Linked DNA regions of Schizosaccharomyces pombe. The protein of the gene in region 1 interacts with the protein of each later gene in a pairwise test. Each region holds a gene or a part of one and is shown in the gene's direction. Other genes may lie near its edges. The genes, in order: ppk22 and SPOM_SPCC417.11C.

Region 1 (4,446 bases):
CGGTTATTTCCACACAAAAGCGTTTGAAGCCTTTTCATACGAGGGAAATTCCCTAAATATCGAATGTCATTGTCTGTGAAATCAATTGCATCGTGTACGTCCCTTAACACTCCTAAATTTTCAATTATTGGAATCTGATACCCTGTAATTATGAGTTAGCTGGATGACACGTAGCATACAGTAATTTCTTTAAACATATCTTAAATCAAGCTCAGTTTCTTTCAAAGGACTGATGAATGAGGGTACCTGAGACAAAAATTCAGCATTAAGACGCATGAAATTTTTGTAATGAAAATGCCTTTTTTATGCTGTTACTGCAGTATGATTTAAAATTCCTAAAAAATTATCCAAAACGCTCACAATCCTAAATTTCACTATTGTTTATTCAAAAAATGTTATAGTTAACGTTTTAGAATCTAATAATGTAAAGTTAATTATGTAAAAACCAAGAATATGACACGTCAAGAGAAGAAGCAAAGTGGTAGAGTTTGGATAGTAAGCACATAAATAAATACAAAGAAATCTTGACTCAATAAGCAAAAAATACTCACTTTTTCTACTTTTTAGATTTAAAAAAAACAAATTATGCGTAATTATACTTTGATAATTGACTGACGACTTCCATGTTCAAGAATCGGCTTTCGTACTAGAAAATTCTTGGGAAAACAGAGAATAAATGATTTTTGTATATGTGTGTTTTGACACCTTTAAATAAAACATTTTTTCATTGTTGTCAAATATATATCTTAAGTTTGTCAGAAATTGGTACACACTCTTTTATCTGTTGAGCTCTCAAAAACAAACACAAGCAATCGACTATTTGGATGAAACACACATTGTTTTCCACTCAAAGTTTTAGTTCAACTCATCTATAATGTTCATACTGCCTCCCTATTTGACTTCGTGAGCACAAACCGCCAACGAAAGTTTGAAACCAGGTTATTTACAATTATTCAGAGTTGCTTAAGGAACCTGTTTTCCTATTAAAAAATTGCATTGAGATACTTACTAAACTGCTATATCTTTTTGTTTTCTCATTTAATGAAAAACATTCCAAAAACAATATTGACATCAAGTCGTTTTTTAATGTAACAGTTTTAATGAATTCTTCAGATTGTTTCTATCGTATTGCTCTATCTCAATGAAAGCACTGCTAAGAAATTATATTTAAATTGATATGACAGCTTCTAATATCGAATCAACTATCCATCCTCATACTAATACCACATGAGTCGGACTAATTGAAAATGCCAGCGATATCGACAAATGTACATCGACATTTCGGATAATGTTTGGGTTTAGAGTAGCCTCTTTTGTAGTTGAAAGTGGAAGAAATACATGATTAAATGTTGTGCTTCCATAGCTCGTGTACTTATAAATCATACAGTCACTCTTGAGAATATGAAATTAAAAATCACTGCATTTATTCTAACACTTATTCTGTTCCAGTAAGAATTATTCAAACTGAATTTACTACAAAACTACAGATCAATACCCACACATAAAAACCAAAAACAAGTTTTTTCTTTTATTTACAATAGCTTCAACTAAGTATTTTGAAGCTGCTTGTTAGTTAATGCTACAATATGACTGTTTATTTCTATATGCTTAAAAAGAGGATTATATAACATAAGGATGGCCGTGGCTCCACTAACTATTCTTTTGCCGACACCTCCAAATGAAACAAGAATTAATATAAGCAGGAGGAATACCATTCGGCTAGTTATATTAGACTATTTGGGAGCTTTGAAGTCGTTTTTCAAGTTTGCTTACATTCTGATTTATATTAGGTATTATAAGTGAGCCGTCAGCGAAATTTATTAACCGGTGAATGTTTGAAGCGCTACGAGATTAATGGATGACTTAGAATGGCTCGAGAAACTGAATTTAATGACAAAAGTCCCTCTTCCACCGATGATGGTATGAGCCAGTCGCACTTTTCAGATAAACTGAAAAATTTGTTTCACTTTCGTAGGAATCGAGCGGCAACCGTTTCTACTAGTGTCCGAAATGATCAGAGGGATAATGATTCTGATGACTCAACCTTTGATATTAATGTTAATCAATTGAATGAATTAGATCTGAATGATAGTAGCGATCAATTGGATAGTCGTCCCAGCCTTAGACGCGTATCTTCCGCACCTGATTCTCACAAAGGAGTAGAAGCGCCTCCTCCTCGTCCTTTAATTAATATGAGCAATATTCGAAAGGCACAGGTCAAGATTTTAAAAAACCCCGGCAACTACATTTTTGGAAGAACTGAGTACGGCAAACGAACTTATTCTGGGAATAGTACAAAAATTAGCCGAGTAGAAGTCACACCTCATAGTTTTGAAAAAATACGTCTTCTTGGTCAGGGTGATGTGGGTAAAGTGTATCTTGTTCGCCAAAAAAGCAACCATCGGCTCTTTGCTATGAAAATTTTAAACAAAAGAGAGATGATTAAAAGACACAAGGTAAACAGAGTCCTTGCAGAGCAAGAAATTTTGACCAAGAGCAAACACCCGTTCATTGTTACGTTGTATCATTCCTTCCAATCTAGGGACTATCTTTACCTTTGCATGGAGTATTGTGCAGGTGGAGAGTTTTTTCGTGCATTGCATTCCCTTCCAAAGCATATTTTACCTGAAAAGGATGCTTGTTTTTATGCAGCAGAAGTAACGGCTGCGCTGGAATATCTTCATTTAATGGGATTTATATACAGAGATTTGAAGCCGGAAAATATATTATTGCATCAATCTGGCCATATTATGTTATCCGACTTTGATCTTTCAAAGCCAATTTCCATTGTCACACATCCAACAGTCGTACTTCCAAAACATTCTACCTTCTCACAGGAGAAACCCGCGTTAGACACTAATTCCTACTTTTCTAATTTTCGCACTAATTCATTCGTTGGAACAGAGGAGTATATTGCACCAGAAGTAATCCGTAGTTGTGGTCATACTGTTGCAGTCGACTGGTGGACCCTTGGTATTTTTATATATGAAATTCTGTATGGAACTACACCATTCAAAGGTAAAAACAGACATGCTACATTCTCTAACATTTTATACTCTGACGTTAGCTTCCCAGAGTATCATGGCGCCCCCAACGTGTCGAGTACGTGTAAGAGCTTGATCCGCAGGCTTCTTGTAAAAGATGAGTCTAAAAGATGCGGTTCTGTCGCTGGTGCCTCTGACATTAAACAGCATCCTTTTTTCCGACACATTCAATGGGCGCTGTTAAGAAGTATGAAGCCTCCCATTATTCCCAAAATCGAAGATGGTATGGAGGCAGTTGAACCTTCTGATAATGATAATGAAGAAGAGGATTTTTTAAACTCTCAGTACCTTATCTCTGCGAATTTACCTGCAGTTGATATGCATTCCTCTACGCCTGTTAATGAACAGAGCAATCCTTTTGACAGTTTTAGCTCTGTCACTCTTCATCATGCTGGTGATGAATAAACTTACTTTGCTATTGTGTAACCTAGAGGCCATGGAAGTTGCCTTGGCTGTAAAAAGTTTTCACCGTTCCCCTTTTCCCCTTTTCGTTTTAATTTAAATAGTTGTCTTGAAATTGATGATAGTAATGATCAAAATTTATTTATAATCTCAAAATGTGCTGCTATTTATTAAATCGCAACCATATGTTACATATTGCTTGTAGCTAGCTACTAACGTTAATACCTAATACCATCTTCATCTCTTGATGGATATTTTATTTTATTTTTTTTTTTGGTAAATGGGGTAGACTTCTGGCTTCTTTTCAGTCCTAATTAAACTAATATTATAAGAATGTTAACTTATACTTTTCATCGATATTATCAAAAGTGATTTTGGATAGTAAATACGACAGTCCATTCTTGATATTGGAGCAACCGGCATTTTTCGACTACTCTTAAACTTGCTTACTTATGCTCATTTTATTATCATTTTTGATATAAGTTATCAAAATGATGGATAAAAATATTTAAGATACTTTATTAAAGAAAATGAAGCGTAGTTATAAAGACATTATTCGATTTTTGAAATTAATTGGAATTTCTCATTCAACAGCGATAAAGCTAGTAGATGGGATACTTCCCGTTATGATAGGACTCAAAACAAGTTATCTCGTCGATTGCGTTTTTTTGGAAATTTCTGAATTAAGAGAAATTATCGAATTCGTAGGCCCGGATTGCTTACGGGGCATCTATTTCACGGAGCCCATTTCACAATGTTTCGTATTGCATGTCGCAAATTGGGAAGAATGGAGTTCCATAGATTCATTGGTACCTATAGTAGTAGATTTACCTTCAAAAAAGCAAAATCGGCTATTGCAGTCTTGTATAACTAAACATGTGGATCGACTTTTGGACCTTTGTAAAAGAAACTTGTCAACGTTCACAATCGATATATCTTCTTCATGGCGACAAAATATTATTGAAAATAATGAACAGAAAGAATTCGAGTGCACCAGTAC
Region 2 (4,276 bases), on another chromosome or scaffold:
ATGTAGACCCCTTGTTGCTGAAATGCTATCTTAGCATTGGAGAGAACCCGCTCACTTAATTAAGACCAAATACGCCAGCAACAGTGCGGCCAACTTTAAGACCCCAGTCCCATTTCTCATCGTCCACAACTTTAATGGTGCCATCTGCATCCAACAAACGATACTCTTCGGTCTTCGTTGTGCCCCAATCTGTCTTGCCAGTAGACATCCATTCTCCATAAGATTTTAGCCATGCTTTGTAAATGGGGATTTCCTCAGGTAAAATACCATCAACAACATTGTAGAACCAAAGACCTAAATCTCCAGCATGGGGAACAAGACTCTCGGGAGGTTCATACTTATCAAAGAACTTTCCTCTGAAAGCAATACGATACCTGTATATTTTCTCCAAGGGAACTCCGCCTTTAACGAGTCCATTAATTAAAACTCTGGTGGAAGCATAGACTTGCATGTCAGAGACGATGCTTCCGAAAAGGGCCTTAATGGCTGCTAAGTATTCCTTTTCATCTTCCATATCGGGGACTTTGGGGTACAACTCTAAGAGTGCTTTGGTAACCTTCTCTGGATAATAGTTGTTAACTTGGTTAAACAAATCCTCCTTGGACTTTGGTGGATTTGTATTTGCATAAATGGAATGCTCGTTGTTTACTTCACCAATAATCAACTCTCTACCAGAATCTCTTATCCTTTTACCAAAAGTACCGTCGTATATATCTTTAAAAGTGTTTGGGTTTACAAAATCTCCATCTGTAACAGCTCTGAATGTATGCAAACGAAGATTCAGAATATTGTCTGCTAAATCTTGAAAGGGAATGGCCCGAAGTTTCTCAAGCTTTTCCGCACTGCTCAGTTCCAATGGAATGCCAAACTTTTGGGCTAACTCGTTGAATTGAATTTGAGATTCCTCTACTGACTTGGGTTGAACTGACAATCCATTTGATAGGAGTAACGCGCGCTTAATGATTTGGTTAGCTTCAGGATGATAGGTTTCGTAAATCAGTTGGAACAATGCACTGTATGATCCAGCACTAATTCCGCCAACTGCAATGTTCTCTTTATTGCCGCCAAACGATTCAATATGCTTGTAGGTCCACTCCAAGCCCAGACGTTGATCCCAAAATCCAAAGTTACTGCTTTTAGGGTCCTCTTCCAATAGTTCCTTGCCAGCAAGGAACCCAAACAAATTAAGTCTATGGCCCGGTGAAACCAAGATGAACTTAGCTGGAGAACCATCTGCTTGCAAATCCTGTGGATCACACTGTCTGTAGTGTAGAGGGTTTCCTACTTGGAGCCATCCTCCATGAATAAAATAGAGTACAGGCCAACCTTCAGCTGGTTTCTCTCCAGCAGGGACCCAAATATTTAAGAACAAACAGTCTTCATCATACTTAAAATCTGGATTACGAACCTGATTCTTGCGATTGTTGTAAAAAGGCTGTGGGCATATAGTTTTAAATTGGTTGTAATCCCCACTATAGTCATAACCGTCTTCAAGTGTAACAGGTCTTCTCCATCTCAATTTCCCCACTGGAGGTTTGGCGTAACGAATGCCGGTGAATCTATGACATTTCTCTTTACCGTTTTCATCCAAAACAGTCAATCCATGCAGCACACCCATTCCAGGGATATTAAGTGTGCAAGGCTTGGAGCCTAAGATAATTGGAGACTCATACATTTTCTAATTCTTCAACAATAATATCTTTATCGTCCTAAAACCTTCCTTTTAACGATCCAAATATCGGGTACAGCAGCCGATTTCTGGATCGGGTACACTAACCGTGTTCCTTAGATTTGGATCAAAGATATAAGATACCCATTTTGTTGACTATCATGCTTATTGACTCTCGATAATGAGAAATATGGTTTCTGAGATATCGGACCTCAGTTTAGCCAAGGAGAAGTCGGAGGCTCAATTCATTGCGAGAAATCCGAAATCCAATGATTTCCATTGCAAGGCTTGTGATTCTTTGCCAGGCGGAAACACTAGAACTGTTCTTCATGGAGCTCCTTTCCCTATTTTCATTGAAGCTGGATATGGGTCGAAACTTCGAGATGTGGATGGACATGAGTATACGGATTTTCTTAATGAGCTAACTGCTGGTATTTACGGCCATTCTAATCCTGTGATAAAAAAAGCGCTTATGCAGGGATTCGACGAAATTGGAATTTCGTTGGGAGGAACTACTACTTGCGAGCTAAACTACGCAGAAGCGTTGAAAAGTCGCTTTCTCAGCATTGAGAAAATAAGATTCTGCAACTCTGGAACAGAAGCCAATATCACTGCTATAATTGCTGCTAGGAAATTCACTGGAAAAAGGGCTGTAATCGCAATGCATGGAGGTTATCATGGCGGTCCATTGAGCTTTGCGCATGGTATTTCACCATACAATATGGATAGTCAAGATTTCATTCTCTGTGAATACAACAATAGCACACAATTTAAGGAATTGGTGAACTCTTCTCAAGACATTGCAGCTGTAATTGTAGAAGCGATGCAAGGAGCGGGTGGTGCAATTCCAGCCGACAAAGAATTTATGCAGACGATTCAGCTAGAGTGTGAGAAAAATGACATTGTATTTATATTGGATGAGGTTATGACCTCAAGACTTAGCCCCGGCGGTTTACAGCAAATTTATTGTTTGAAGCCTGATTTGACTACGCTGGGCAAATACTTGGGTGGTGGCCTTCCTTTTGGTGCATTTGGTGGACGCGCCGATATTATGAGTTGTTTCGATCCTCGATTACCAGGTTCTTTATCTCATTCTGGTACTTTTAACAACGACACCCTTACATTGACAGCTGGATACGTTGGATTGACTGAATTATATACACCCGAAGCAGTAAAAAGACTCAATGCGTTAGGGGATGGGCTCCGCAAGGATATTGAGTCTTATTGCCATAATACCAAGATGTCTATTACAGGCTTAGGATCTATTATGAACATTCATTTCACTGAATCTGGTCGCGTAAATTCTTACAATGATACGGCTGGTGAGGTTATTGAACTTAAAGATCTTTTGTGGATGGATTTATTAAAGGAAGGTTTTTGGATTGCTCGCCGGGGGATGATTACACTTTCACTTGTCCTTACAGAATCCGAATTGGAAGCGTTTAAGCTAACAATCAAAGCATGGATTCATAGAAGGATGTCTCTTATTAGAATATAAATTTTATATTATTGGATTGGCAAATTATATTCTATTTTTTTGCTAATTTAAACAAAAAAAAAAAAGAGATTTAGAATTTTTTTTGAGGCGATGAATCACTCATTTTTCTTGCAATGTTGACTAACTACTATTTAGGTTATATGAAATTTTGATTTTGTTATGATGAAATGGAATGGTTAAGGATTTCCACAACACAAAATAAATGTAAATGATTACTTTATATGAGAAATATTCCATCATAGGCATTTCAGTTAAATGAATTGGAGCTTAAAACTGAGCAGACGAAAGTGACAAGTTTATACTGCCCTATTTGAAGATGTTGAAATGTGACAATAGTTTATTAAAACTTTCAAATCAGGCTTTTAAGTCGCTATGAAGCTCAAACTTTGTTTGAGGTTATTCTTAACAGCAATTTGTCTATGATCTGATTATTTGACATTTGCATTCTTCTAGTTTTCTTTGTTGGTTCGTAGATATTTACAATTGATGTTTAGGTTGATTAATATATGTATAGAAGGCTAAATTTATCTTAAATATTGTGAGTTTCCGAGAAAAAGTCTCGGGGACTTTTGCTACTTGGAAATCTACAGTATTCAGTAACGTTCGTAAGACGAGTATATTATTAAAGTCGTAATAAGAAAATAATAACAAAAATTAATAATAAAGCTAAACATACAAGCACAATATGTCAATCGACGACATCAAGTTAAACAAGAAACCATGGACAAGGAAAATCAAAATAATTAAAAGGAATAGTGTTCCTAAAAACAGAAACTTTCTTTCTCTTAAAAGTGTATTCCAGCTAAGAAAGAAATATTTCGGAATATACGACTAAAACCTGCTTTAATAACTCGAATGAAAAGTTATTACGGTAGTTTCCGTACACTCATTAGTAGTATACAATAATTAGAAAGCAATGACCTGCAAAGTGTACAAATCATAAAGTGTATCTGAAATCAAGATTCTCAAAATCTGTAAGATCTTCAAATTCAGCATTGGGACGATGCTCAATCTTTCCCTCCGCAGCCAATTGATCCCTACGCTTGTTTTCTCTCCAATTAACATAGTAAAGAGCAGGAAATGTGACTAAAGTTGCTGCATAACAACCG

Evidence for each region.
Region 2: the proteins of ppk22 (region 1) and SPOM_SPCC417.11C interact in a two-hybrid assay, tested with the Schizosaccharomyces pombe proteins (one large-scale study listed by BioGRID).

The regions. Positions count from the first base shown.
Region 1 is NC_003423.3:4,145,788-4,150,233, forward strand, and holds ppk22 (serine/threonine protein kinase Ppk22), read left to right. Parts: upstream 1-1,664; 5' UTR 1,665-1,868; coding exon 1,869-3,449; 3' UTR 3,450-3,690; downstream 3,691-4,446. Other genes in the region: U2 snRNP-associated protein Lea1, read right to left, coding at 1-134, 196-276; SPOM_SPBC14F5.01 (uncharacterized protein), read left to right, coding at 3,977-4,446.
Region 2 is NC_003421.2:1,697,081-1,701,356, reverse strand, and holds SPOM_SPCC417.11C (glutamate-1-semialdehyde 2,1-aminomutase aminotransferase), read left to right. Parts: upstream 1-1,836; 5' UTR 1,837-1,850; coding exon 1,851-3,167; 3' UTR 3,168-3,696; downstream 3,697-4,276. Other genes in the region: SPOM_SPCC417.12 (carboxylesterase, type B family protein), read right to left, coding at 56-1,675; dipeptide transmembrane transporter Dal51, read right to left, coding at 4,105-4,276.